Linked DNA regions of Lepisosteus oculatus. The protein of the gene in region 4 purifies or fractionates together with the protein of the main gene of each other region. This does not show direct contact. Links are inferred from orthologs where the notes say so. Each region holds a gene or a part of one and is shown on either strand. Other genes may lie near its edges. The genes, in order: rbbp6, srpk2, ncbp3 and cpsf6.

Region 1 (7,692 bases), on a different chromosome or scaffold from region 4:
TCATTGCCAACATGATCTTAAGCGATCATACATCGATCTGTACAACAGTTTGTAGGCAATACTCCACCCGCTTTTGAATATCAAATACAGTGCATTAACCTGCACAAAAACCAATTTACACACAGGTTAAACAAATGTGCAAATATTGAAATTAAAAAGGTAAACCATTCCACAAAATACATTGTGTTACAACAAACTATTACCAGATGTTTATCACTTCACATCAGAGGAAGTTTAAACATTTTTTTCTGAATTTCAGATACACACTTATGTGCTTAAATGACTAGAATAAAATATATTTAACAAATAAATGAAATTGTGAGTTTGTTTTTTTACATACTGCTTTTGAAGGTCCACTTGGAGGTTCAGAACGATCACTGGAAAGCAAATGAAAAGAAAAAGATTATCTTCAGACGGTTTCTATCACAGCCTCCTTATAAGATCAGTCCAGTTCATGAAAAATCACAGTGCAAACTACAGAAAGCCTTACGAATAAAAGCTGTTGTAAGCTACTTTCAACGAGACTCCAAAGAGAATTGGTAAACTGCCCACAGAGGACAGTAATAGAACAATTTACCATCATCGCTGTAAAACATTTCCCCAATAAACTAAAGAGATCAATTTATGTTTCACAAACCACAAATGAAGACTACTGGCACTCAAGATGATCACTAATCACAGCCTGAGATCATCCCTTTAACACATTTTTTGCACGTGTACTGGTAAATTTAATCCCACTACCTGCCAGACTGCTGCCAATTCATGAATCACCAAAAACACACCAAATTACGTCTACCCAGTCGAATCAAAACTGGGTTAGGGCTTTAATCCCCCAAAATGGAATGTCTCATTCCCACTGATATCAAAGGAAATCCATACTTACATGACAAATGTTTTGCTTGCAGTTTTGACCCCACCAATAGGAATCCTTCTGATAATGACGGAGGAATTCTTGGGGATAAGGGCGCCATCGTCAGTGTACTCTGAGGAACCAAACAACAGGATAGTTTGAATACCGGCGCCTACTGCTCTGTGAGACTCAAAAGAACGTGGTCCCTGAAGTCAACTCTGGAAATACTTGAATAAAGTGACTGCAAACTACTGATGGTTACAAACAAGTGCATCAAACCACTCTCTGGTTGTGCTTTGGGCCTGTCCCTGAGACCATCAGACAACCGAATAAAGGTGCCGACAACCACCTTGCGAGAACATTTTCTTAGCAACGCACCACCCACAGGGTGCACATCTAGACTTCACCAGACAACTCACCCAGCAGAACTGCAAGATCTACAGCGCGTTTGCTGTCGCGCACTTGACAACTGTCGGCAAGGGAACAAAATGGATGCCTTCAGTCCCGGCCAAGTGCGACCTGAAGGGGTCACTGGCGGAGCATGTCCACGGACAACAACCGCTAGGCCCGGACGTTTGCAATCCACCTCTTCGACCCGCCGGCCATTTTCCCCGTCCCCAGCCCGTCTCCAAATATCACAAGCGATCGTGCGATCGCCATTCCGACCAGATCAAAAAATGCAACTTGGAAAAAGCACTGCTACCCCTCCTGGTGCTGTTTTTTTTTAAATCAAGTAATGATACCTGGCGGATCTAAGAGGAAGCGGGCTCAAACTGGTCCAGATGTGCCACACGTGTATCGGAGACGTTTCCGAACTCGGACGGGACCCGCAAGTTCGGGTGCGGGCTCGCTTGAAACGCCAGCTCCGAACACGAACCCCCAAAGCCAAAACGGCGATGACCGTTTTTTTTTAACCGATTACCGGCGACAGTACAAATCCAAACACACGCTCGGCACAGAGCCAAGACGACCACGCTGCGCGTTTCGAAGCGAGTGACTGTCTTACCTTCCTTGGTCTGCGCGTTAGTGATCTGCAAGTCGCAATCCGCAGCCTTCAGCTTCTCTCGGCCCATGATCTGCCGCTTCAGGTCACACAGCGTAATGTGCAGGCCATCAAACGTGACCGTGTCATAGTTAAGTTTAGAAGAAAATTTATAATGGACACAAGACATTGTTATAGCAGATTACACTACCCTGGTTCGTACAGGGAAACAAAATAAGAACGTACAATCAGGTGTGTCAGATAATGTGCCCTTTCCGCTCGCTAGAAGACGATATGGCATTACGCTTCACATCCGCGGAGCCACAGAATCTAGCACAGATCAGCTAAATGAACGGGTTTAATTGAAATCATGAGTTACTGTAACGTAACGGGCGCTACCACAACAAGCACAAGACCATCAGTTTTAGTAGTCATACGGCAATGTTACGAGTAGATGTTGAAAGTCCACCATAATTCAGAACACCCCCCCACCCCCCGTCACGGGGTCCCAGATCTCCTTCAGACAAAACGTCCAAATGAATTTTCTTCGGCAAAGGCTGGCTTAAAAAACATCCAACCGTCAACGGCGCACGGTCCCGCAGCCGCGGTCTCTAAACGGGCCTTGCGGCGTCGGTTTGCTTCAGAGTCCGCGCAGACAGGCCGGCATGGCGGGCGGGCTCGCCAAGTCTCTGGCTTCGCCACGGGGCTGATCCGACAAGTCCGAAACGACAGCGCAAGCGAAAATAGGATTGATCCAGGCTTAGGAACGATAAACGGAAGTGCGCAGTCCCCCTCCTTCACTCCCAAGAAGGATCCGTTCAGTCCACTGTCGAAAATGAAACAAAAGAAAAAAAAAAAGAGAGAGCGAGGCCTAAAATGGCCTCCCTTTCTCTCCACCAAAACAAAGACGGCTATCAACAGCGCCGGCTCCGTATGGCAATACAAACAATTCCATAACCCTACGGTATTTCACAAAAACACATCTACCCTCATACAACCCCCCCACCAAAAAAAAAAGAAATAACAGTCTATATCCCCTGGCTGTAGTTCACAAGAAGAAAGTTAACAACTGTTGACCGCTTCTTCGAAAATCTACAACGCTCCCTCTCCGCTCCCTTCTGTGTCACTATGGCGGCGCCTCCGGACACTCAGGGGTTTCCAAAAGCAAGCGCACGGGGCACGCAGCGGGACGTCATAATAGCAACGCGCTGCGTCACAAGAACGGACTCTACGTCGTTTGGCGTAGCCGGCGTGTGTAGCCCGCGGGTCACGTGAGGTTTGAACCGCATTCAACCGTAACTTTTTAAAGAAAAACAGGTTTAATAAGAGAGCCCTCAAAACAGTTGTTTTTTTTGCAGGATTTAACAAGATGATATAATGGAATAAAAGAAAACCCTCTCATAATGCATATATACTCAGTCCTTACTTTTTCGTTCTTACAAAATACTATTCTAAATAGGACAATTTCGTTTAAAAATGGAAAAAGGACTAATGTAAACGGATTTTTCCACTTAAGTACGAAAATAAAAATTTCGAAATACAGCAATAAGCTAGACCTAAAATAGGATTAATCAGAAAAGATCACTGCATTATTTTGCATTTTATATTTGCATTATTTTGTCGTGTAATAACCTCAGCAGTGAAAAATGAAAAAGTGTCTCAAATTCTAGTGTCTCCTTGTATGACCTGCATAGTTTATTTTTTACCGTGCAACGCCAAAGAAATCATACATACAGTAATGTTAGTGGAAATACTACTTTTACCATTACTAAATGTCCAGAGTTTAACACCAGGTTCTTAATGTATGACAATATATTAAACAGCTTCATACTGGTCTCGGTTTTCTTGAGTTGCAATGTGCTGCAGTTAAGCTCGTCAACATCTGTTGCTGCGATTTTACCTGTCAACCAACCCTGCCCCCCCCACACTCTTCAAACCAAACAGGTGCTCCTCAAAGTTAGTGACGTCTCCCAGAATGGAGATTTCAGGCACAGTCAGTCCTATAGACCAGCTGTGTCTAGCCCTAGACAGCCTCAGTCTGTTCTATAGACCAGGTCTGTTTAGCCCCACTCCTGAACAGCCACAGTCTGTCCTATAGACCAGCTGTGTCTAGCCCTGAACGCCTCAGTCTGTCCTATAGACCAGCTGTGTCTAGCCCTGAACGCCTCAGTCTGTTCTATAGACCAGCTGTGTCTAGCCCTGAACGGCCTCAGTCTGTCCTATAGACCAGCTGTGTCTAGCCCTGAACGGGCTCAGTCTGTCCTATAGACCAGCTGTGTCTAGCCCTGAACGGGCTCAGTCTGTCCTATAGACCTGCTGTGTCTAGCCCTGAACGCCTCAGTCTGTCCTATAGACCAGCTGTGTCTAGCCCTGAACGGGCTCAGTCTGTCCTATAGACCAGCTGTGTCTAGCCCTGAACGCCTCAGTCTGTCCTATAGACCAGCTGTGTCTAGCCCTGAACAGCCACAGTCTATCCTATAGACCAGCTGTGTCTAGCCCTGAACGGCCTCAGTCTGTCCTATAGACCAGCTTCATCTAACCCTGAACGGGCTCAGTCTGTCCTATAGACCAGCTGTGTCTAGCCCTGAACAGCCACAGTCTGTCCTATAGACCAGCTGTGTCTAGCCCTGAACGGCCTCAGTCTGTCCTATAGACCAGCTTCATCTAGCCCTGAACGCCTCAGTCTGTCCTATAGACCAGCTGTGTCTAGCCCTGAACGGCCTCAGTCTGTCCTATAGACCAGCTGTGTCTAGCCCTGAACGGCCTCAGTCTGTCCTATAGACCAGCTGTGTCTAGCCCTGAACGGGCTCAGTCTGTCCTATAGACCAGCTGTGTCTAGCCCTGAACGGGCTCAGTCTGTCCTATAGACCAGCTGTGTCTAGCCCTGAACGCCTCAGTCTGTCCTATAGACCAGCTGTGTCTAGCCCTGAACGCCTCAGTCTGTCCTATAGACCAGCTGTGTCTAGCCCTGAACGCCTCAGTCTGTCCTATAGACCAGCTGTGTCTAGCCCTGAACGGCCTCAGTCTGTCCTATAGACCAGCTGTGTCTAGCCCTGAACGGGCTCAGTCTGTCCTATAGACCAGCTGTGTCTAGCCCTGAACGGGCTCAGTCTGTCCTATAGACCTGCTGTGTCTAGCCCTGAACGCCTCAGTCTGTCCTATAGACCAGCTGTGTCTAGCCCTGAACGGGCTCAGTCTGTCCTATAGACCAGCTGTGTCTAGCCCTGAACGCCTCAGTCTGTCCTATAGACCAGCTGTGTCTAGCCCTGAACAGCCACAGTCTATCCTATAGACCAGCTGTGTCTAGCCCTGAACGGCCTCAGTCTGTCCTATAGACCAGCTTCGTCTAACCCTGAACGGGCTCAGTCTGTCCTATAGACCAGCTGTGTCTAGCCCTGAACAGCCACAGTCTGTCCTATAGACCAGCTGTGTCTAGCCCTGAACGGCCTCAGTCTGTCCTATAGACCAGCTTCATCTAGCCCTGAACGCCTCAGTCTGTCCTATAGACCAGCTGTGTCTAGCCCTGAACGGCCTCAGTCTGTCCTATAGACCAGCTGTGTCTAGCCCTGAACGGCCTCAGTCTGTCCTATAGACCTGCTGTGTCTAGCCCTGAACGGCCTCAGTCTGTCCTATAGACCTGCTGTGTCTAGCCCTGAACGGGCTCAGTCTGTCCTATAGACCAGCTGTGTCTAGCCCTGAACGGGCTCAGTCTGTCCTATAGACCAGCTGTGTCTAGCCCTGAACGCCTCAGTCTGTCCTATAGACCAGCTGTGTCTAGCCCTGAACGGGCTCAGTCTGTCCTATAGACCAGCTGTGTCTAGCCCTGAACGCCTCAGTCTGTCCTATAGACCAGCTGTGTCTAGCCCTGAATGCCTCAGTCTGTCCTATAGACCAGCTGTGTCTAACCCTGAACGGCCACAGTCTGTCCTATAGACCAGCTGTGTCTAGCCCTGAACGGGCTCAGTCTGTCCTATAGACCAGCTGTGTCTAGCCCTGAACGGGCTCAGTCTGTCCTATAGACCTGCTGTGTCTAGCCCTGAACGGCCTCAGTCTGTCCTATAGACCTGCTGTGTCTAGCCCTGAACGCCTCAGTCTGTCCTATAGACCAGCTGTGTCTAGCCCTGAACGGGCTCAGTCTGTCCTATAGACCAGCTGTGTCTAGCCCTGAACGCCTCAGTCTGTCCTATAGACCAGCTGTGTCTAGCCCTGAACGGGCTCAGTCTGTCCTATAGACCAGCTGTGTCTAGCCCTGAACGCCTCAGTCTGTCCTATAGACCAGCTGTGTCTAGCCCTGAACGCCTCAGTCTGTCCTATAGACCAGCTGTGTCTAACCCTGAACGGCCTCAGTCTGTCCTATAGACCAGCTGTGTCTAGCCCTGAACGGCCTCAGTCTGTCCTATAGACCAGCTATGTCTAGCCCTGAACGGCCTCAGTCTGTCCTATAGACCAGCTGAGCACTGAATGGCGTAATCAGGAGGCACTAACACACTTTCCAGATGTCTGTTCCTTGGCCATTCCTCGTCGCATGTAAAAGCTGCAGAGCTGTGATTCTCCAGACCCTGGCTGTGGATCGATACGTGAGTGTTGCTCCTCGGCTTTGATAACGGAAGGCCGGTTTCTTGACTTGCAATGATCATAACAGGCTGAGGTTGTGCTGCTTTTAGTTGTTGGAGGCAGAGAAAAGTTTTGGTGTGTGAGCTGCAGAAAGCTGATTTCTGCAAGTGTGGATGGTATTAGGCTACAGATTTGGAAGTGGAAGGCTTGAGAGAGCTAAGTTGCCTATTGTCTTGCTGCTGTGTGCCAGGGCCTGCGGGCACCTCAGCCATCAGGAGTCTGTCTACAGTTCAACATGTCCACCCTCGTCCAGCTGGTAACTGTCCACCCTGTCAATACTCCTGAAGTCTCCCGCCACCCCCCTTCTCCCTGCTTGAACTTTATTGCTGAGCCAGGTGTGTCTCCACTGCGCACTTTGAGCCCAACTGAGATTAAACAGCGAAGTACATTTTGTTTAGAAGATTAGTAGCAATGTACTCAGCCCAGGGGGATGTGTGTGTATGGGCAGGGGAGGGATACAGTGTGATGTGCAGTTTTCCTATTTTTGTAAATACTTACGTATCTGCAGGGAGAAGGTGTATGAAGCTCTGGTGGAGGCCAGGGACCGGGGCAGCATGGTGCTGAGGCTGTGGGAGGAGCAGGAACTGCAGGTCAGAGCTAAATCTTCACTCCTGGTCCCGGAGGGCTGCAGTTCACCAGCTTCTACAGGTCAGCGAGAAACAACCTGGGAACACTGGTAATGAAGACGAATCATGTGGGAAAATGAAGTCCAGTCATTAAGAGTCCAGGGTGGAATGAAAGCCAGGAGATACTGTGGCTCTCTGGGGCCGGGAGTGAATATTGGTGACCTAAATAGTAAAAACTGTTCAATGGTCCCGAATCTTGTGCTCTTTACTTTGGCTTCGTCTGGTATTCCACTGATCGATCTGAATGCACAGTTGGAGCCCAAAACGTGGCCGGCGCAGTTGCGGTTTTTGAAAGAGCCTCGTCCGGTCGAGCGAGTTCTGTGCGAGTCAGCGGCAGGTGGTGTCCAGGTGTTGTGTGCCCTCTCTGCCACCAGGTGGAGCTGCAGGCCCAGCTGGACAGGCCGCCCCGGCATGAAGCATTTAAGAGGCTTTTTCAAAAATAAAATAAAACGTGGTTATTGAGTGGAATAAGCTGGCCGCTCACCGTACAGGAAAATCGAGGCAGAGCCTGTGGTCCCAGTTAGTCATTTGTAACTCTTTCTAGTAAATCAGATCTAAAGGAAGGTATGATGATGTCATGAGGCGGATCCAGTGACATCACGGGCAGCGCCGGTGTGTTT
Region 2 (7,075 bases), about 25 Mb from region 4:
AGAGACACAAGAGCAAGAGCAGAGGAAACGATATGATCAAAGGGGAAAACACATGGGAGTAGAACACTAGTTCGAGCTTCTGCGCAAGAAAACAGGGAATCGTGAATCCGCATAATTTAATTCACCCTGGCGTGCCGCTTGGGAAACAAGTTCTGAATAGACAGAACTTTATATTCCGAAAGGGATGCCATCCCACATCCACAACACACTTCCAAGAAAATAATTGCCCATAGATAGGTTTGCGAGAAAACCTGAGTGAACTCGTCTTTGCGGTTAATTAACACTTATTACGTGCACAAGCTAAACGAATGCCAACTCCTGTGAGCTGGGACACGGCTATGTGCCCGTGCTACACAGACACTTCAGAATCAAGCAGTTCCTTTTTTTGGGGTCCTCCTGAAGCTTTATTTTTTGCCCATTTTTTCCGGTTGAAAGTTTTAAAAGCCACCTGGCAGGTATCCACTCTTGGAGACTCACCGAGGGGCAGTTTAAAGAAAGGCAAGCGCGCTCGGACCACCAGGACATCGATGACAGCAGCAGACGGCCTCTCCCCCCCCGTCCAGGCCCTGGCCTCCTGGTCACCTACACCTGCCCCCCACACACACACACACACACTCTGCAGTGTCACAGGCGGCTCACTCACCCCGAGCCCCGCTCCCATCCCAGGGGGTGGCGCGCAGGAGGGAAGGAGCTGGCTGGCGCGGGGTGTGGGCGCGCCGGCCCGTGCAGGAAAGACAACTGGACCGGAGCTACAAAGCGCGTCTTTGCAAGAGTTGGTTTCAGAAGGGGTGTAGAGTGTGAGCATGTGTGTGTGGGGGGGTACCGACTGAGAATAATAAGAAGAATAATTCCTCACACTTATATAGCGCTCTTCTGGACACTCCACTCAAAGCGCTTTACAGGTAATGGGGATCCCCTCCACCTCCACCAGTGTGCAGCCCCACCTGGATGATGTGACGGCAGCCATAGTGCGCCAGAACGCTCCCCACACACCAGCTCTCAGTGGGGAGGAGAGCAGAGTGGTGAAGCCAGTTCACAGATGGGGATTATTAGGAGGCCACGACTGGTTAGGGCCAGGGGGAAAATTGGCCAGGACACCGGGGTTACACCCCTACTCTTTTTGAGAAACGCCCTGGGATTTTTAATGACCACAGAGAGTCAGGACCTCGGTTTTTCATGACAGTTCATAACAGGAGAGGAATTTTGTTTCTGTTCTTTAAGGGGAGTAAAGGGGACAACAGAGCAGCCCTGCTCCCTCGCTGCTCCCCGAGGGGGGAATTTCTGCAGGGCCCGCGGGGTTAGGGTTCCTGTCGAATTCTTCCTCCCACCCCGCTGAATCCACTTCGACGGGATTCAAAGAAATTCTCATGGCTTCTACACGTTTTTCGGGTTATCCCGCGCGAAATCAGGAAAGCTGGAGGCAAGCAGACAACCAACAAACAGGCAGATGAAGAGTTCAGGTCGGAGTTCACTTCAGGAGTCGAACTGACAGCCCCCGGGTCGCGCAGAGGCCCGAACAGCGAGGTTCCAGCGAGCAGGATTTGGGAGCCTCTGCACAGACAGACGCTGTGCCCAGGGATCCCGTTCACAAGCCCGTTCTGCCCCAGCCAGCGCCGTGTCAGCCCCGGGTGGGGGTGGGACGCCAGCTCATGACCATGACGTCACCCGGGCTCCCCTGCCCCGGTCCCGCGCGTGGCGGAGCCTCGAGCTGTGCGCGCGCGAGCAGAGCGCCTCTCGCCTCCAGCATCACATCGCTTCGGCACGGCGGCCAGGCGCTCTTGAACGCGGAAGCATTCAGAAACACGGGACCGGCACACCGCTAGAGCTGCTACGTTACCGTCGCTTGCGTATTCAGTGTTTTTTTTTCCGCCCCCACCCAGCCGGTTTTGGGTGAAACTCTCTCTCGCACCTCTCGCACCTCTCGCACCAACGATAGATGTCAACGTCAGTCAATTCTCGTCTTGCAGCAGCGGAGCCCTGTACACCCCACCCCCCTCTCCGAACCACCAGCAGGGCAGCAACTCGGCTCGGGGGCTCGAACTGCACATCACCTCACATCACAGCCCGGTCCGGCTCCAGCAGCCCAGCGCCCGGGCGAGGAGGTGGTCTGGGCGGGCTGGCACCAGCGGTAGACGCGGCACAGCCTGTCCCGCCGGCTCCAGAGCCACCGTCCTCCCCCCCCCCCCTTTGGGGCTGCGGATCGTTGCCAATAGCAACTTCCGACACCACGGCCGGGCAGCCCCGGGAAGAGGAGTCGGAGCCGCTACCCCGCTCCCTCCCTCGGCACCCAGGGCACCACGACACCCCCCCCGCTCCGCCATCGCGTCTGTGCGCCGAGTGTGCCAGTGTCAGCTCCCCCTCTCCCGCTGTCAGCGCTGTCAGAGGGGGCGCCTCCGCCGCCGCCCTGCAGCCCCGGACCGCTGCCTACCTCCGCTGATGGGCTGCCTTGTCCTTCTTCCCCTTCGGCCGCCGCTTGCGGGCCTGGATGGCCAGCACTGCGGTGGGGATCGCGGGAGGGCGACCCGGGAGCCAGGCAGAAGCAGGGGAGGGAGAGAGAGAGAGAGAGAGACGGACAGACAAGAGCGACACATCAGTTTGCCGGTTTCAAAAGCATCGCCCGCCCTCCGCACCGCCGCCACCACCGCCGTGTGGAGCGCACAAACACACCCGAGCCCCCCGAACCTGCCCCCCCAGCCCGGCCCAGGACGCCCGAGGCTTTGCGTAAGAAAGACAGCCGGTTACCCTTCCGAGAGCTCATGTTGGTATCCTTCTCCACCTCGGCGAAGGCGGCCGGGATCTCTCTCTCCGTCCGTCTCTCTCTTCCCTTCACCGCCTCTCTCGGGGATGCGCGCTCCCCCGGCCGTCGTCGGGAGGCGCGCACCCTCCTCCCAGCCAGACAGGGGGGACTCGGGGGCGCGCTCCGCTGTCAAGACCCAGCGTCGCGGGCGCGCGCAGGCTTACCTGAGCCGAGGCAGGTGCAGCGGGAGAGAGAGCAGCGGTTGGTTGTTTTGGGCGCGCGTCCCCGGCGCGAGGTGACGGGTGAGGTGATCGTTGTGGCCCGCAAAACAAAAACGATGACGCAGGCAGGTCAGTTACTCGTGGTAACGGCGACCCGCGCGCCGAACGGTTAGTCTCCGCGGTCCGAAAACAGCGGTTCACACCACAGTCTTGGATTTAACCGCAAAGTGAATATATGAAAAAAAAAAATAGAGCAGTATTCCCGTTTTGTGTTGCCATGTGATCTCCAATATTTACAAAAGGTCCCGTGCTCCGAGATTGTATTTCAATTAATGTAGCTCTGGAAGTCCAGGAACAATTGAAAATAAATGAATAAAGTGTAATGTGCTGTTTGTGATTAAAATATTGCGCGGTATTACTCTAATTTACTGCATCGTTGTGTTGAGGGCGGTGTATTGGATTTTTAATTTCTATAGTTCGTGAGAGTACAGCGGTGAGGACAGATTTTGAGGTGTAGTTGTGCTGAATCATTGTATACACTGCACGACCTGAACTAAGCTTAATAAAGGTCAGAGTAACAACACAATACAGTGAGGATTCAACGTCTGTCTTTTATCCGACAATAACTAGGAAGCCACGCACTGAGGGAATACTAGTTCTTGTGGTTTTAAAGAGATTCGAGCTCCCAAACAAAAGACATCCAAGAAGATTAACAGTTCTAATCCATCAAAAGGAGATACAATTGTTTCCTTTCTTTCCCATTCACTTTTCTTCCGCGGAAAGCTAACACAGAGTGCCAAAAGGCATACACTCTCCACATAAAGGCCTTTAAAAGTGTGTGGGAGTCTCTGAAATCGGGCATCTGTATTGTTTCAGGATTTATATTTATCATTTTGTTCTACCTTTTAAACCTTTAAACTTGTGGTCCTGACTAAGCTCTCATTATAGGGCAATTGTAAGAGCTGTGGACAAATTCGGTTCTGTGGCTGCACGATCCTGTCTCCTTCAAGTGCCTCTTTCCTTCAGTTGGTGAACCTGTTTCTACCTGCCGCCCTGTGTGTACCTGGGGCTGCTGGGACAAAATGGGAGCTGCACATCACCCAGGTGAGGCAGCACTTCAGGGGTGAAAGAAGTGGGTCTCTGCTTTGGGATGAAGAACTCAGCACACATGTAGTTGTATTTATTATTATTATTATTATTATTATTATTATTATTATTATTATTATTATTATTATTATTATTATTATTATTATTAAAAGGAGAAGAAGGGGTGTTTTGTTTCTTTTTGTTTTGTATCCCTCAGGCTACTTTAATGTAATGCCCATCTGAATAATCATCATCATCATCATCATCATCATCCTTATTATTATATTGTGCCTTTAACCGTATCTTTTCAAAGCACTTTAGGGGAACAGTAAAAAAACAGATAACACAAATGAAAACAGCAACAAAGGAGATAACAAAATTAGCACAAAGCAACACAAGGGATTAGAAATGCAGTAGAAGACGCCATTAGCAAACACAGACACCAATTCAATACAAGCCTTTCAATACAAGAAGGTTTTGAGTCTGGACTTCAGCATTGCTATCCTTGGGGATAGATTTCCAAAGCTGTGGGGCGTAGCAGAAGGACTTGTCAACTGTGGAGTGTAAACGCGCTTGGGGAAGAAAGGGGAGACCAGAATCAGATGAACGAAGATTTCGAGGTGGGGAGTAGGAAGATAATAAATCGGACAGGTACTGAGGTGCCAAGTCATGCAGAGCCCTCTAGGTGAGCAGGAGGATTTTGAAGTCGACACGAAACCTGCCAGGAAGCCAGTGCAAGGCCTCCAGGACAGGAGTAATGTGATCACTTGCACGCAACCAGGTCAAACTTCCAGGTGCTGAATTCTGGACATACCAAAGTATGTTTGGTGTGGATCTAGACACCTCAGTGAGTAGGGAGCTGCAGTTATCATTTCTGCAAAAAATGAATGTGTTAACCAGCTTTGCTGTTAATTTAGAGACAAAAAATAAAATGTGTTCTGGCAATATTTCTAAGATGGAAGAATGATATATTTACAATATTTTGCGCATGTATGTCAAAGGTCAACAACCCCAAATTCTTTTTTTTTTTTACTGAGATTCAAGCACAATGCCGTCCACATGTAGGGTTACTGAATTGGCCCTGGATACAGTAGTTGAGGTGCTGATAAGAATCACTTCAGTCTTGTTGCAGTTTAAATGAAGAAAACTTTGGGTCATCCAGTATTTTATGTCAGAGCTGCAATTAGAGAGCACAGAGACAGCTGCTTCAGTGTCATGTTTAGGCTGCACGTAGATTTGAGTATCCACTAGTTAAGAAATGATCATTCTGACCATGTGATTTTAAAAAGTGACCAAGCAAGAAGACCTAACTGCAAAACAGTAGGTAAAAATGCTGCATATTACAGTATAAATTGGTCCAGACATCAGTTGCTTTGGATAAGCACATTACTCAAGTGAATTAATAAAAATATTATTGTAGCATAGTGCAGGGTTATTACAATAGCCCGCTTTCCAGTCTTACTGCATTCTATTGTATTATTGCTGCCCACGGCAATTCGGCTATTAAAAATAATCATAATGTTGTCATGGAAAAAAATGACTTCATATCAGGCAATTCAGCAGAGCTAGTAATAACAGTTCAGACAAGGCGTGCACTCACTCGGTCCTTCCCTCATTGATAAGATGAAGCTGTGTAGCTCAGAATAATTCCTGAAAATGAGCTCAGATTGTGTAGTTTGGCTGAGCCACGTGGCATGAGTTTTCTGTCCCAGCCCAGCCAGTATTCCCTCTGTGCCAGGCCTCCTAGTTATTGTCGGATGAAACTGTGACCTGGGAGTGTTATCTGGTTGCAGTTCTGCACAGTGCTGTCCTCTCATAGGGTCATTCTGTCCACCACGTAAATGGCCTCTGTCCGGGGAAATTAGAAGTATTTAAATTTCCTCTAAAGGCTTTGACAGAAGTCCGTGCCGGGTCTTGTGGTAGACCCTATGCGATGCGGTAAGAGCTGGAGAAAACAGCAGGCGTGGTAAAAGGGAACACACAGGGGTTTAATAGTGCACAATAATAGTGACAGTCCGTGAGACAGTGAACGGGGGAGACAAAGAACGGCATCCAAATCAAAACAGGTCCAAAGGCAGGTCAGGGCACAGTCCGGGAGTCCAGCGGCGAGTAATCCATCCTGGGACACGACAAGGTTAAAATCCCTGGAAGGGGGGAACACACGGAGAGACAAGACACAGAGGTCCAAGGGTGACGGGGCGGGATCCTCCAGACCCCGGGCTCAGGAAGCGGGAGGTGTCGGGGATGAGGCCTGTGCCCTCAGGAGACGGATGTAGGGTATCCTGGTGCCAGGGGGCCCTCGTGACATCCGTACCCTAATGTTGAGCCCCGAGGACTGGAGGAGCTGGTCTTTAAGTAATACACATAACAAGATACACCTGGGGAGTTAGCAACAATTACAGGAACAATAACGAGTGGAGCGCCCTCTAGGGAGGGATGTCGGGCGTGACAACAAGTGGAAATACAGATGGAAGTGCATTGAACACAGAGAACTGAGAGTTATAACTTTCTTTACACAAAAGGTTGTGGGAGTATGGAGCAGGATATCCACCCATGTTTTTGAAGCTGATACCCTGGCTTCTTTCAGGAAACAGCTGGATGAGATCCTCGGATCAATTACCTACCTCTCGTTTGTAACCGTTCTTATGTTCGGGAGCTTCGTGAGACAAATACCACCAGACTTCACACGCCGCCTAACCCCCAGCCAGAGCGCATGAGCATGGACGTCATACGCACGATTGCATCAGCTCGGTCCGGCTGGATCAGACACACTCATCGTGCGATCCCAGCCCCTGCGCCCAGTGTGCTTGGTTTTTGTTTTTGGAGTTTCTTGGTAGTCGGCTGACTGAAGACTCTCCCCTGACACCCAGCTCAGAGAGGAAGCAGCCGGACCAGACCTGCGGCTGGGCAAGAACCGAAATGCCAGGGAATGGCAGAGGGGTTGCGGGTTCAGATCCCAAGTGGGGTGCTCCTGTCTTGCCCATGAATGAGGTACTTTGCTCACATCTGCTGTGTAAATGGGTCTTTAGGT
Region 3 (7,309 bases), on a different chromosome or scaffold from region 4:
GGAAATGCAACTCACGAGACAGGGGAGCTTGGAGTCGGTGGAGGCAACTAAGCCCTGAGATGAGAAGATCTTTGCCTGGACACAACAGAGGAGCTGGAGAGCACAGCTAAGAAGATATCCCAGAGACCTGACAGAAACATGTCAATACTGTCTGACGTCTCTCCCAGAGGACCCTCCAGTTAAACAAAGCCTGTAAGTGTTGTGCAGAGACTGTCCGGCGGTCCCAGAGGGCCACAGAGGTTGTCTCTTGGGGACCCCTGGACACTCTCAGAGGCCCTAGAGGACCCCTGGACAGTCTTTGAGGGCCCTAGGAGACCCCTGGACAATCTCTGTGGCACTAGGGGACCCCTGGACTTGTGTGAATCGCGGGGTGTGGAGTCGCTGTTCCTTCCCTGGCAACAGAGCCCTTGTCAAACCCATCCTCCCGAATTTCTGTTCTCTGACCCGCCTCAAAATTGCCTCCTGGGACAGTTCTGCGCTGTTTGAAAGTTTTGTTTTATTTTCCTTTGCAAAAAAAAGCCCCCAGCTGTAGGGGCTGATGTTGAACTCGGGACTCCTGCGTTGCTGGTTATGGAGCTTGCAGCTGAGCAGCGCTCACTGCTGTACCTGGGTCAGAACAGAGCCTGCAGGCAAGCACAGCACAATTACAGGCAAGCCAGGCAGTGCATAAAAATAACAGCTGCCAAATGCTAACCTATGACACTACAGATACACAAAACATAGCTTCATATTTAAAACACAGGATATGTAAGAAAATGTCTTTTGAAAATTGTGAAAAAAGTGCAATACAGGTTTGACTGTCTACAACTTAATAGTTCAATTCCCCAACGGGTCCTTTTCTTTTTTTTTTTGCTCAGCTTTGAACAACATTTCTAACAATTTGTTTCCATAAGTAAATTTTCTTACAGTTATATTAACATTCATGAGGATGTACATTATGAGAAACATAATAAATGTCACCTGATCTGTCTTGAATTGGACCTCAAATCAAGGCCCAAGGAGACCCTCCCAGTTCAGATACTGTAAACAGTAGTAACACATAAAACCTTTAAACGCTACTCGCTCTCTTTAAGGTCAATTCACAAGAAAAAAGTTCAAAAGTTTAAAAAGTTAAAAAGTTCATTTTCACACAATTGCTCTTGCAAGTACTCTGAACCGACGCCGTTGCTCCTCTGAGAGCAGTTTTGAGACGCCTACAGGAAACTCACGGACGTGATTTCTACCGTATGGATAAGCGAATGACGATCCATCAGCTTGTTAACGTGAGATTGAGTTGCTGTAACTGGTTTGCCACAGATGCCACAGCTCAGTCCCCAGAGATCCTACTGCCCTGTCCTGACATGGGGACTTAAGGCTCATGGGGCCTGAGCTGGATCCCCTTTTCAGACATTTGAAGTGCCTTCCATTTGGATCACTTGACCCTTCACCAGTAACCAAGATAATAGGGCTACAGAAATAAAGAGTCTGGACCACAGGCGAAGCATCTCGAGGTGTCTGCTAGTTCTACAAGGACATCCGGAGAGGGAGCTGGGCGTTATCAGCACTCACCATCACGGCAGCACCAGAGCAGGGCTGGGTGTCCTCAGAGGTCAGGGTTTGTCAGCCATGACATGTGCCTGTGTCACTCAGACTTTGCGGAAGGGGGTGCTGGACTCTCTCCAGCTGCCATTAAATCAGGAAGAGCCTTATAGGGCACTGGGGCCAGGGGACACAGTATCTCCCCCAGTGCTGCCCACGCACACACGGCCGGGGAGCTGTGTGATATGCTTCTTCTGGGGAGGCTGGAGCTGATCATGTTACACATGTGACCACAGGTGACACAGAGGCCCGGGGGAGTGCTGTGCCACTGGGGTATCAGACACCAGTATCCATGATCCACACCCAGCAGCTCCCAGAGACCCGATCCCAGCTGGCGGGTGCACAAGGGGTGAGCCTGGAGGGCAGGCGGGTTTCTGGGAAATTCACGAGCTCGGGAAGGGGGGGTGGGGCCGCTGGCTGTGGGCAGGGGGAGGCCAGCCGGAGACGGGGGTCACTCAGCTGCCCCTCCGGCAGCACGCTGTAAACTGACGCGCTGGGTCACAGGAGGCACAGGTTTCTTCTGACGGAGTGGAAAATCGGGCGGAGCACCCTTTAGAAGTCCAGCGCTTTCACTGCCTGTCAGCAGCGCTAAATGATGATCACAACCTGAGCCTCCTCCCCACCGCCCATAGCAGCCATAGTGCGCCAGTCCTCTCCCCACACACCAGCTCTCAGTGGGGAGGAGAGCAGAGTGATGAAGCCAGTTCAGAGATGGGGATTATTAGGAGGCCATGATTGGTAAGGGCCAGGGGGAATTTTGGCCAGGACACCAGGGTTACACCTCTAGTCTTTTTTGAGAGACACCCTGGGATTTTAAATGACCACAGAGAGTCAGGACCTCAGTTTTACATCTCCTCCGAAGAACGGCGCCTGTTTACAGTACAGTGTCCCCGTCACTATACTGGGGCATTAGGACCCACATGGACCGCAGGGTGAGTGCCCCCTGCTGGCCCCACTAACACCTCTTCCAGCAGCAACCTCAGTTTTTCCCAGGAGGTCTCCCGTCCAGGTACTGGCCAGGCTCACACCTGCTGAGCTCCAGTGGGTTTGCCAGTTGGGAGTGGCAGGGTGATACGGCTGCTGTCTGTGTATTGCAGACTGAGCCTCTGTGAACAGCTGAATTGCCTGAGCAGGAGGTGGCCTGTTTCCCAATTCCATCCCCACTCTCCCCTGAGGTCCAGAGGGAGGGATTCTCCACCATCTGGAGTGAAGCGCAAACCGGGTAGTGAAAACCTGGAGCAGGCTGTCCAGTCCTGGTGCTGAAATGCCTCCAGAATGAAAAATGAGGAACATGATCAGGGCCCTGCTGTCTGTATCATGTTGCTGAAAGGTTCTCCACAAACGCCAAAATCAGGCCCCTTCACACGGCGACAGCACGACTGTCCCGCGGGTTACTCTCACGGGACACAATGAAAACCTACAGGGAGACGCCGAATTCGAGGAACGTGAGAAAACACACGTGGGCGAGCGGCGCCACCTTGTGGACGCGCTCGGGAGCGCAGAGGCTTTTCTGAAACGAAACGCCGGCTGTGACTGTGACGCTCAGGGCGGACCGGTACCGTCGCGGTCCGCCTTGACCTACAGTCCGGACAAAAAGGGGAGACCTTCCTCGCGTTCACGCGTGGCGTGGGCTGCGGAAGGCTTTTACCCCAGGAAGGGATGTTGCCGGCTCCCTTCCAGCCGGAGCTGGAGTTCACGCTCTGCTCGCCTCGACATCCCTGTCCGAGCCCCATCCACGCACACTCGCGAACCAGGGCCCGAGTCACGCGGGGGACCACCACACAGCACCGCTGCCGTCGCGCGAGCACACTGCTCTGTGGCCCGAGACACGCGCCCCTTCACCCCTCGACTTGACACCTCGTGCTGGCGCGACGCCGGACACTGGACACCGGACACTGGACACTGGACACCGGACACTGGACACTGCGCCAGGCCGCTTCTAGTCTGCCCGTTTGTGGGAGTTTGGTTTTCCTTCGGATTCTGAATGTGGGGAATTTGGGAAACAAAGAGAAAGCTAACTAGAGTTAAAATTATAAAAGCCCAGCGGAAAGAGATAGGCAGAAAATTAAGTTACGCCGCCTGGACTCCTTCTGGCGTTCAAGCACACAACAGAAAGAAAAGCAATATAATCCAGGCTGGGCAAACGATTTTTTAAATTTTTAGAAAATAAATAAAAAATTAGATATAATGATGCGTTCCTTAACATTGCACTACTTTAAAACCTATAAAAACAGGTTTCGATAGTTAATAACCACTTTTTATGCGCGAAAAACGGGTGATTTTGCTTCCTCGTGATCAGCCAGAATCTTTGTGTACGCCGTACGGTTTTTACTTCTTAATTAAACGCTTAAAATACACGAATTTCATAAAGACAACACATCACAGAAATGAAGATGGCGAGTTACAGTTAGAACAGACGGCCGGCGCTTTGTGAGTCACTGTTCAGATTGCTGTTGGCTCAGTTACTTAAAGGCGTAATCATTCATTCTAGGATTGGAATTCATATATGTGCCCTGTCACTGTTGTTAAATCTTGTATTAAGAGTATTCTTTCTGTTCGTACCACTAAACTACACTCCTTCAGTTTCCCGGTTCGCAGTTTGTAAATGGGTCGAGGGCTCCGCCGTGCTGCCGCCAGTCCCCGGCGCCGCCGCTGGGTGGCAGTGTCGCTGCGGCGACGCGCTGTGCCGAAGGTGCCGCTCTCTCCCCCTTCCCGCTGTCGTTGGTGCGGCCGCTCTGTTTGGGCTGAGGCGAAGGGAAGATGGCGGCCGTCCGAAGCTTGCAGGTCTCGGTGAAGTCAGAAGCTGGGTCCGATCGCTCAGAGTCAGATTCTGAATCCGACTCGGACCGGGATTCCCGCGAACCGGAGCCAATGGAGGTAGAAGAAGGTGAACTGGAACTGGAGTCCATTCCGGTCCGCCGGTCACTGAAGGAGCTGTTACCGGTAAGTAAGGCCGCGCCACGACCTCGGTCCCCAGTAGAGAGCAAGGCCGGGCTGGCGTGGCTGACCAGGGGGGTTACAACGTTCCAAGAATCGGTGGTAACAACTGCTTAATGACAATGTTGTCCTGCTGGTTTTGCTTTTTTTCTGTGAAAGGAGCAGTTAAAATTGTGGTATTGGTGTCTCGAATGTTTTGTAAATAGGAGTGTTAATGAGATCAGGTCCTTTTAACTGGGCTCAGGGATTATCGTGTAGTTTCAGTTTTGTCAGAGTACTTGAAGCTTTAGGAGCAGATCGAGTCTGAAGCACAGCCTTTCCAGAAATGGCCACGGGATGGAATCTTTTTCCCAAATGTGTTTATAATCGGTGTCTCAGAGCGATGAGGTGCTGGTACCTTACCTTTATGACTAGGGGTTGCGTCGGAGTGGGTTGGGTCTATTTCAAAATATTGAACTTTACATTGCTTATTCCCCTTTATCGTACTGTCGAAAAGCTCCATCCCGCCTTTCCTGTTTTGTAAACTGCCTTTTGGAGGGTCGGGTTGGGTTTTGTCGTGTTGAACTCAGGGCTGACGTTTCTCAACAGGACACCAGCCGGCGCTACGAGAACAAAGCTGGGACCTTTATCACGGGAATCGATGTCACCTCAAAGGTACGGGCATCCTTGCTCTTTCCGTGCCCTGCGTCTGTTTCCTGCTCCCTGGTCTGGCGGCGCTGTGGTCAGTATTACTGCCTCGCAGCGCTGGGGCCCTGGGATCCGTCCCCGACCCGGGGTGCGGTCTATGTGGAGTTTGTATGAGTTACCTCGGATAGAGTGTGTGTGTGTGATTGCCCTGCGATGGACTGGAGTCCTGTCCAGGGCGTATCCTGCCTTAAGCCTTGCTGGGATAGACTCCAGCTCCCCTGAACTGGTTGAAGCAGTTAGAAGACATCGCTGGTCCCTGGTCTTACGTCTCAGAGCTCCAAGTATTAATGAAACAGTCAACATCCTGGTTAACCCCAGTGTCCTGGCCAAATTTCCCCCTGGGCTTTACCCATCATGGCCTCCTAATAATCCCCCTCTCTGAACTGGTTTCATCACTCTGCTCTCCTCCCCATTGAGAGCTGGTGTGTGGGGAGAGGACTGGTGCATCATCCAGGTGGGGCTGCACACTGGTGGAGGTGGAGGGGATCCCCATTACCTGTAAAGCTCTTTGAGTGGAGTGTCCAGAAAAGCGCTATATAAGTGTAAGCAATTATTATTATTATTAATTAATCAGTCCTGTAGCCCCGAGTCTGAATGGGCTCCCTCCCTGTCCAGAGCGCTTGGTCCGCTCGTGGTTCAGAGTCCTTGAGCCCAGACGTGTCCCGCCCCTCCCCTCCTGGCTGCGGCTGTGGCGCAGGGATTGCGTAACATGGTGTTCCAATCTCTCGCAGGAGGCCGTAGAGAAGAAGGAACAGCGGGCCCGGCGGTTCCACTTCCGCGCCGAGGTCAACCTGGCCCAGAGGAACGTGGTGCTGGACCGGGACAGGATGAGGAAGGGTGAGTCCTTCAGCTGGGCTCTGTGTGCTGGCTGCAGCGCGCTAGTGTGTTACTGCTCACAGTTTAGATCAGATCAGATCACTTCATTGGTCATATACAATTGCTTGTATCAGGAATTTGTCTTCACATACCCCAGCTTGCTCTCCATAAGACACACAGACAGGGAGAGAAGCTTGGGGTCAGAGCGCAGGGTCAGCCATTTATACAGCGCCCCTGGAGCAGCAAGGGTTAAGGACCTTGCGCAGGGGCCCATCCGAGTAGGATTCCTCTGCCGGTCGCGAGATTTGAACCGGCAACCTTCCAGCCACAGGCGCAGATCCTGAGCCACAGAGCCACTGCACCGCTTCACCGGCTTAGCTGCTGCCTTAGAAATACAGTCCTCCCCATTCGTGTAAATAAAGCCCACCGTTCCTTCTTTCTTTTAAAAGGGTAACAGTGTGAAAGTATGTAGATGAAGAAAGCAGGGTTAACCAATAGGGTACAGTTTGTGTAGAAGCCCACTACGAGGAGCAGAAGTTCTAGTAACTGAAACGACAGCACCCTTAGGAAAGAACTGACTGATGCATTCAGTGCCGGATTGTGGTGTCCGTAGGCCCTGGGCACTTTCACTCTGAAATGTGCAAAAAGAGGGTTGAACGCCAGTTGACACGATGCACTTTAAACTGTTCTAGTGCTAAACCACCTGATTGATGAAGCAAGCCGAGCGCCCATCACTTCCATACTTCTAGTTTCTAGAGCAGTTGCTAGAGAGCGCATGATTATTGATTTGGAGCATCTGGAGTCGATCGCAAGCACGTTGTTTCAGCTCGGTTTTTGTTAGTCACTAGTGTTTCCCTCCTTCCTAGGCCCTGGGCACTGTGCCTACAGAGCCTGATGGGAAATCCGGCACTGGATGCGTTTCACAAAGGCAGAGATTGTAGTCTCTGCTCAGACAAAAGAATGATGGGAAGACAGTTTGATACACGCAGGAGGGGAACGGCATAAACGGGGAGCCCACAACCTAAAAGAGCTGCCACCAAAAGTTTTTTTTAAATCCACCCTTGGGATATTCCTGCATGTGGAGCCTTAAGGATGCGGTAGCCTGGATTGAGCTAAGGGACCAGTGCTGCGTGAAACCTTAAGCGTCGCAGAAAGAATTTTAACAATTCATGAGAGACGCAGACAAGAAGGCACTGCAGAGAGTGGCCAGCAGTAAAAAGCCTAGTGAGTTGAGGGTCTTCAGCCTTCAGGCAGAGAATTACAACCGTCTGCTGAGATGTTTCAATGACAT
Region 4 (7,803 bases):
ACATCACTTATTCAGCACTGGGCAGGGCATGTCTAAAAGAACCCACGTTCGACACCAAATGTTTGAACAGGCCTCTTCACAAGTGACTTTTCAGATTTCTGAAATACTGACAGTAAACCAGAGTGAACTGAGGCCTACCAAAGTACGCACGTCCAGTTTGAAGCAGTCACTGTCTTATATGAAATGCAGTACTAATAAAGACCACCGGAAGGATAGTAATGTCCCCTGTGGACATGGTATGTCCTTTCCCAGCACGTTATTCTGACCTACAGTATTTCTGTCTTCATGCGATACACCCCTTCCAAAAAAGCAGTTTGCTGAAAATCAGGCCGGATGTCCAGCCTTAGGATTACCGCGCCAGGCCACCTGTCATCTCGAGTGTGAATATGCCAACGCAAATGCTGAGCCTTCATCGGATTTTACTAAGGACCAGCAGCGTCGAGTCCTAGTCCCCCAGAATATTGTTAGCTGCAAAAGTAAGATGTTTAGAAGGCATGAGTTTCTATAGTGTGGCAACGACATTAACCCTGTCAAAAAGCCCTGCTTAAAAACACCCGCCTCACTCATGACCCCCAGGTCCAGCCCGTTGTAACATTGTGCTTCCCTGTTCGCCGAATATCTGCCATAACCAGGAGGGCTGAGCTGTGAATATACAGAAGCTCTCCAGCTTCCCAGGGCTGAGAGGGCAGTGTTTACAAACCTCAGTGCAGGTGAGGCCAAAGTCTGCACAAAGACTAAGGAAGGAGTACCACCCCCAAGGAAGGAAAGAATAAACAAGTGAAAGGACAATTTAGTCTCTGATCAGCCTTGGGATCGAGTCTGGGGTAGGGGTGGGGGGGTGTTTACAATGTGGAGGTTGCATCTCCCCCCCCCGGAGCTCGGCGACGAAGTCGCCCATACGTGTGCACCCTACTATAGACCTGCAAACCCCCCAGAGCTCGGTCTCCACCTTGTGACCTTCGCTTCCAAGAGTCCAGTCTGCCACAGCTCTCACCACCTTTCTGAAGATGGACGGACAGAGGGAAACTAACCCCGCTGCCCGATCTAATTCCAATCGCGGCGGAATGCAATAAATGCTTAACTATAAAGCACCCTGAACAAAGTTTTGACTTGTGATAATCTGATGAGTACTGGACACTGCGTAAGTGTATCAGTGTATTATTCAGTCCCCCCCACCCCCCAAAAGAACGAATACTCTCCATCCGCCACACCCCAATAAAATTGGAGGCAGCACAACTCGATAACACACGGAAGTACTGCAGTACCAAAACGCAACACACTGCTAAGAATGAGCTCTGCACTCCGAGACCTAAATCACCGCCACCGAGGTGGGAACGCACTTCAATCGCTTTCACGCTTTAGAAGCCGCAGGCGCGCAAACCATCACGACGTACCGCACATTTTAAAAATGTCTTTTCCCAGCACAATTATTCACCCAGATGCGCCCGGCTGAAATTATACACTCTCGGAACTCTTCGTACAGTAACTTCGGGGATTCAGCTCCCGGCGCAATTGGGATCTCACAACGAACAAACACAAACCTTAGATGTTAAATCTGAGGGCGCGGGACGCAATCAGAAATCCCCACAGTACACAGTCCTTTGAGACCGATCACTCCTGGACAGTGTGCATGAAAATTCTTTTCAGAAACGGCCTGGGCTGATGCCTACATAACCTAAACCACTAACTGTGAGAAGTTTTAAGATGACTTCAACGACAGCAGGTCTGCAATTGAAACCCGTACAAAAACTACCTTGATTTTCTGGTACCGAGAACAATAGCATTTTGAAAAGCACGCCAACCCAGTAAGGAAAGTCACGATTTCAAGTTAAAGGCTGTAATGAGACGCTTCAAACGAGCTCTTAGCAGACAGAAAACGCCCCCCCCCCCCAACTCCGTTCCAAGTATTTAAGAAAGACCCCCAATTTAATTTACAGCTCACAGAACAAATCTATGCAACAAGATTCTCAGTGCGATCGCTGCAAACGCTTAATGAAAGTTAAGACGAAAATGTGTCTCAGCAAAAATAAGATTTGGGTCTACTTTATACGTTGCACAAAAATACTTAATAAATGTTGAACATGCAAATTGAGTATCATGCATTCCGAAACGTGCGAACAACCGAAGAAACGCCAAAATAATTTTGAGCACATCTTAATGTGTCCATGAAAGTATTACACGCTGAAAACATCACCCTCAGAACTAAACAAAAGGAAGCACGAAAATGTCAGCGGCGCCAAAAATTATCGCAATTAATAAAAACGGTGCACGTGGTGTTTACGTCGCAAGAGTGCTATATTTTAAATTTCGTCAACATCACGTTACGTCTGAGGGGTCATATTACACTGGGATCGCTTACAGCTTCAAAGCATGCAAACAAAAACAAAAGGTCAGCTACACGCACCGTTTTAATTCTAGCCCTGTGAATACTTAATGCTTTAAATGAACGGTGATCAGACTCCGGCGAGGCGGGAAGGGGGGGGTATTTCTAAGCCCGGACATTTGCTCCCCGAGGACGTGCACGTCCCCGCGCGGCTCACGAGCAAGGCCTCAGCCCGCGACACAAACAATGGAAGCGCTCCCACGCGCCGCGCCGCCCGCCGCCGCCGCCGCTCGTTCTCTCTGCTCCTCCGGGAAACTCCGGCGGGGCGCAGCGCCGAAAGACTGGGCTCACCTCCCCCGGCTCGTTAAGGGCACCGAAAATCCAGGGTGCTGGGCCCTTCGCTTATATAACCCTTTAATCTAAAAAAAAAACACTCCCTCGAGGTCTTTCTCTGAACAAAAATAGAAATCCTTTCTATAAAGGTGCATTAAACAAACCCAAACACGGCTGTCCTTTTTACGGTCTTCCAAACGAAATTGCAATTCTGCATTACGCACCGAGAGGATAACAATAATGCATGCTCACCTGATTAAACTCCTCGCCAACATCCGCGTAGATGTCGATGTGATCCACACCGTCGGCCATTTTCCACTCTTACCTCCTCCTCCGACTGGCTTGAACCAGAATAAAACTGCTAACAGGAAAACACTGCGCGTCACATCCGACGGTCGGCCAAACACAGAAGAGAGGAGGAGGGTGTAAAGACTTCGGCTCTTTTTTTTTTGACTAAGCGTAACAAGTTGCTGCTTTTTAACTTGGTTACGATAACAGAACTTCACAAACTATTCTCAATTATGCAATTTAGGAGATGTCGATACCGGCTCGCTAAATATTCTCTTTAGGCAAATCAAGGTCATAGTGTGAAATTCTGGAAAATTATCTAAAATGCACAGTTATAATTATTAATTTAGGTGGCGCCGTTAATCCAACATGTACATGCAAAAATGTACACGTGAACGATAAAATATGAATAACATGATAATAAAATGATGTGATAAGAGCACACGACCCACATAATCAAATATACAAAATAAGAACCATTTTTAAATCAGTTTTACTAAAGCAATAATACCACAATGCACAGGGACAGATATTATTGTATACTGTATGTAATGGGCTCACGAATTCTCCAGTAGACCTAACAGTAACATTCCACACAGTCGTATAAGCACTATCGTGTGGTACAGTTCCTTTCTGGGGTACAATAGATGACGATTCTTAAAAAAAGGTTCGGTTATTTTAATGTTTCATAATACATGAGCGCATGGATTAAAATATTGATCGAATTGTTATGGAATATTGGTGTCAAGACTTTACAGGCAAATTTATAATAATCTATAATTTGCACAGCGGTGTGTAGTGAAGACTATCGTACAATCTTGTGTCCAGCGATTGTAGGATCGATTCTAAAAATACATCAAAGAAGTAACGAGTTTAAGTAATTTTTCCACAAGGTGGTGCACGGTGATCATGGACATCTACGGCCAACATTTTCACATTTGTTCGTATGTTCATAAACGGACCCCTTTCAGGGCTGTTTTTTATAAGATCACTTTATTAGCCATATACAATTTCTTGCATTACGAATTCATCTTTTCGCATACCCCAGCTTGCTTTCCATGAGACACACAGACATGGAGAGAAGCTTGGGGTCAGGGCTTACTATTTCAAACATGACAGAGCGAAACTCTTTGTATTTTGAAGACGGCTTTTGTACATTTCACCTAAAGAATTTATCGTGACCTAATTGCCCATGGTATAGTTTCAGAGAGTCTAGTTACAGAAGACCCTAAACCCTAAAAATTATGATCAAGAAATCCAGGAGTCGAGTTAATTTGCACCTGGGAAAATATCGGTAAATGTAGCACAAAACAAAAGAGGTGTAGTCCTGCTAGGAATCTCAGAGCAGTTCCCTGAAATAAGTGCCCCATTATTTGCAAAATGCAGATTTTGACAAGTGTGGGATTATCTGAATAATTTCTGCAATGGTGCTTTGTCTGTCATATACCGTCTATGTTGCTGCAAAGCCAAAGATTTGTGCAGAAGGGGGTATCTGTATCTATATTAGATTGTAACAGAATCCACAGTCACAAGAATGGGTTACAACAATACAAATGCACTGTAATACACTGTAATAAAGTGTTATACATAATATGTATAAGAATAATGTCAATAGTTATTGACAATAACATTTCTTTCACGTTAATTAAATACTGTACTTCTTCATCCTGCCAAGGTTTCTTGTTAAATCAATCTAAAACTAATCTAAAATAGAGGGTGTGAAAACGTCTTTCTTTTAATTCTATAGATGATTCTATAGATGCTCATGTACACCCTATATTTTAACTTGGGCTAGTAAATTCAATTTAAAACTGTATTTTCTGGGATGACTGGTTATTAAGTATCTTTATAAAATATATTATAATCAAAAAAGCATACTTTAAGAAATTTAATTTGATACACATTAACGATTAGCACTGGACACTGTTAGATAAGGTTAGTGCCAATACTATGTATTCTATTGAATACGACTGTAACTGTATTCTATATAGACCTACAATGTATCACTTGAAATATCTGTTAATTTGACTATCCATTGTGAAAATCTCTTTGACGTCATACGGTACATCTGGGATTGGGATCATTAAGGTTTGATGCATTTTGCACTAACATCATGTAGAGCATTGGCTCAACAGTATAAAGAATAAAGCAAATTAACTAGATATAGAAGAAAGTGTTGAATTGGACGGCATGTGGTTTTTTTTTTACAATAGAGAAGCAGACGAGGTAGTCCAGATATCTAGATTGAATTCAATTCTGTCTCACACCAAGCAAAAATCTAATTCTGGTTAGGATGAGATTCAGATGGGTGATGTATCAAACCCACTAGCAGTTTTGAATTAAGAAATTTTAAGAAAACTGCCAGGAACATGAGTCATCCTATTACGGGAAACATTTAAACCACAGTGAGGGAGTGAAACTGGAATTATATCAAGAAATACATGACATGTAACGGGAACAAATTCACAATTACCAAGCAAATGACAAACCCCAGACATTAAATAATTTTAAAAATATATATATATATAAGTGTATACACAGCATCCAAAGAGTCGCAACAAATTCAGAAAGTGTCAGTTAACTGATAATGTTTCTTGTAGCAGCTGTACTAACATTTTATTGAAGAGACAAGACAGGCAAATTCATTCTGCTGGTTAATACTGGGCATCAGCAGGACTGAACACCAGGAGGGTCCTATTGTGCATGTTGTAGTCTAGTAGAGTATGTAACCACTTCTGATGTGTGGCACATACACTGCAACAGGCTGCAGATGTTGTCTTGTGGAATCCTGTCCCATTCCTGTCCTAGAGCCTGAACAAGCGTGTACTTTGGTCTCTCTGCCCTAGACGCCCAATGTCATCTCTGTCATCATCCTGCAAACTGCCAGTGGGGCTCAAGTTGGCAGAAGGGCTCTGGAGCACAACGGTCACATTATGGTCAGGAAAGCCATTATCACGAGGAGCGTGGGAATATGTTCTGCTGGAAGTGCTGTCACTTTGGGATGAGCTAGCAGGAAAGGCAGCACGTGAGGACCCAGGACTTGATCAATATAGCGCCTTGCAGTCAGGTTGCCATCAACTACTGTGCCACACTCACAGGCATCCATCAGACATTGTGCTCCACGTAGATTCATGTCTGAAGAGGTCTTGACTCCACAGCTGCTGAGTTCATCTGAGGCACACAATCAGCTCATCACCTGTGTCCAATAAACTCTTTCACTGAAGAGGGGATTTAGTGATTATGTAACAAAGTCACTCAAAATAAGATCACTTTATTGGCCATATAAATTTATTGTATTAGGAATTTGTCTTTTCGCACACCCCAACTTGCTCTCCATGAGACACACAGTACAATACAATACAGTACAAACTCAGTGAAAAACAGGTACACTAACACATCTCCAGAATGGAAACGAACCCAGGACTGCGCTTTCTTAAGGGTTTAATGGCTTAATGGTTTAAAAAATAATTGTATTAATATCCCCGTTAAAGATAGCACCTGTCTTTTTCAGTTCCCTTTTTTTCCTTTGTAAACAGACATGGTTCGCAAAAAGAAGCTTTTTTTCAAACAAGTTAAAGCACTTGACCAAATGCAATAACGTCCCACGGACAATAAATGTTTCTCCCTTGAAATAAGGTGACGTAGTGTCTGCCACTATCACTGCAGCCACCGTCATAAAGAAGTTTTTTTACAGGCTGTCGCAGACTGAAACATTAAATTAACTGGTGATGAATAATTCTAGCAAAGCAGTCTATGTGATTTTGGAAGACCGTCGCCTCTGGTACCGTGGCTGCAGATCTTTGCACATATACTCCACACAGACGTAACGTCAAACGTCCAGGACGTTTCTCATTTAATTGTTTAAAAGCAGAACAAAACTCAATTTTTCTTCTCCAAAATGAACTTTTCTAAATCGTGTCCACTGCGCCCTCTAGTGGTGTTCCGCCTGTCACCACGCAGCATTACAACGGTCATTTTTAGAACGGGTATGAAAACAGCAAGACTTCAATTTACGGAAAAGACAAACATCAAGGAAATAGTAGAAACAAGCCCTTTCGTCGCGTGATTCCATTTGTATCACACCCTAAAAACAGTGTTCAGAAAATAACCTCATGTTAAGAGGACAGAACTGTAGAATTGAGTGCAAAGTTGGAACACTGTTTGAGTCTAGCCCATCCGAGGATCTCCTTCCAGCTGTTTCTTGTCTTCTGTTTTCAGTACACTTTCACCTAGTTTCTAAGCACCATGTAGAATAATGTGTGCATGTGTTCTGGTACAATTAATGAATTTTACTAATGCACTCTTCTTTTTTGTTGTTGTTGTTCCTTATTGCTATTTAGCTAGTCATCTTTGCTTTAGGAAATTCTATGCCATGTTCCTCCAAATACATTTTTTTCCAGAAACCAGGACTCAATGTTTAATGCAGCATGGGCACATTTTCATCTATAGCTGGAGAGGAGGTTGATACCCCAAACATCTGCTGGATAACATATGAAAATAACAAGGCATTAAACAAAGCCAGCTACATCACTGATGGAAATGACAGCACTCCAAAACCAAACACCAGACCTGAGACGGGACAGGCATGTCTACTTTCCCATAACAAGTAGAGTAATATTTCGATAATGCTTTACTAAATATCAGCGTCTACTGTACTTGAGTGCTTTGCTAAGAGATATACTTGTCCTTGTGGTACAAACAGGCCTGTTAATTCACATAGCAGGTTGTCCAATGAATATACCCTCCCAAACAAAAAAGCAGAACAACAACAAACAGTTTCAAAAAGAGTCTCAGAGATGAGCTAACAATAACCGACATCACAACCTCAAGCAGCCTACTTCGAAGAACAATAGGATCTA

The links.
Region 1: the proteins of cpsf6 (region 4) and rbbp6 purify together in Homo sapiens (affinity purification with mass spectrometry; 3 studies listed by BioGRID and IntAct, with this or other methods). This does not show direct contact. The link is inferred for Lepisosteus oculatus from reciprocal best matches to the Homo sapiens genes CPSF6 and RBBP6.
Region 2: the proteins of cpsf6 (region 4) and srpk2 purify together in Homo sapiens (affinity purification with mass spectrometry; 3 studies listed by BioGRID and IntAct, with this or other methods). This does not show direct contact. The link is inferred for Lepisosteus oculatus from reciprocal best matches to the Homo sapiens genes CPSF6 and SRPK2.
Region 3: the proteins of cpsf6 (region 4) and ncbp3 purify together in Homo sapiens (co-immunoprecipitation; 3 studies listed by BioGRID and IntAct, with this or other methods). This does not show direct contact. The link is inferred for Lepisosteus oculatus from reciprocal best matches to the Homo sapiens genes CPSF6 and NCBP3.

What each region holds. Positions count from the first base shown.
Region 1 is NC_090714.1:11,894,600-11,902,291, reverse strand, and holds the start of rbbp6 (E3 ubiquitin-protein ligase RBBP6), read right to left. Parts: upstream 3,001-7,692; 5' UTR 2,023-3,000; coding exon 1,857-2,022; intron 984-1,856; coding exon 884-983; intron 378-883; coding exon 341-377; intron 1-340. UniProt on the Homo sapiens protein: E3 ubiquitin-protein ligase which promotes ubiquitination of YBX1, leading to its degradation by the proteasome.
Region 2 is NC_090702.1:48,123,969-48,131,043, reverse strand, and holds the start of srpk2 (SRSF protein kinase 2), read right to left. Parts: upstream 3,017-7,075; 5' UTR 2,759-3,016; coding exon 2,743-2,758; intron 2,496-2,742; coding exon 2,429-2,495; intron 1-2,428. UniProt on the Homo sapiens protein: Serine/arginine-rich protein-specific kinase which specifically phosphorylates its substrates at serine residues located in regions rich in arginine/serine dipeptides, known as RS domains and is involved in the phosphorylation of SR splicing factors and the regulation of splicing.
Region 3 is NC_090721.1:10,765,898-10,773,206, reverse strand, and holds the start of ncbp3 (nuclear cap-binding protein subunit 3), read left to right. Parts: upstream 1-4,291; 5' UTR 4,292-4,338; coding exon 4,339-4,521; intron 4,522-5,103; coding exon 5,104-5,169; intron 5,170-5,933; coding exon 5,934-6,039; intron 6,040-7,309. UniProt on the Homo sapiens protein: Associates with NCBP1/CBP80 to form an alternative cap-binding complex (CBC) which plays a key role in mRNA export. NCBP3 serves as adapter protein linking the capped RNAs (m7GpppG-capped RNA) to NCBP1/CBP80.
Region 4 is NC_090702.1:23,479,105-23,486,907, forward strand, and holds the start of cpsf6 (cleavage and polyadenylation specificity factor subunit 6), read right to left. Parts: upstream 3,019-7,803; 5' UTR 2,969-3,018; coding exon 2,909-2,968; intron 1-2,908. UniProt on the Homo sapiens protein: Component of the cleavage factor Im (CFIm) complex that functions as an activator of the pre-mRNA 3'-end cleavage and polyadenylation processing required for the maturation of pre-mRNA into functional mRNAs.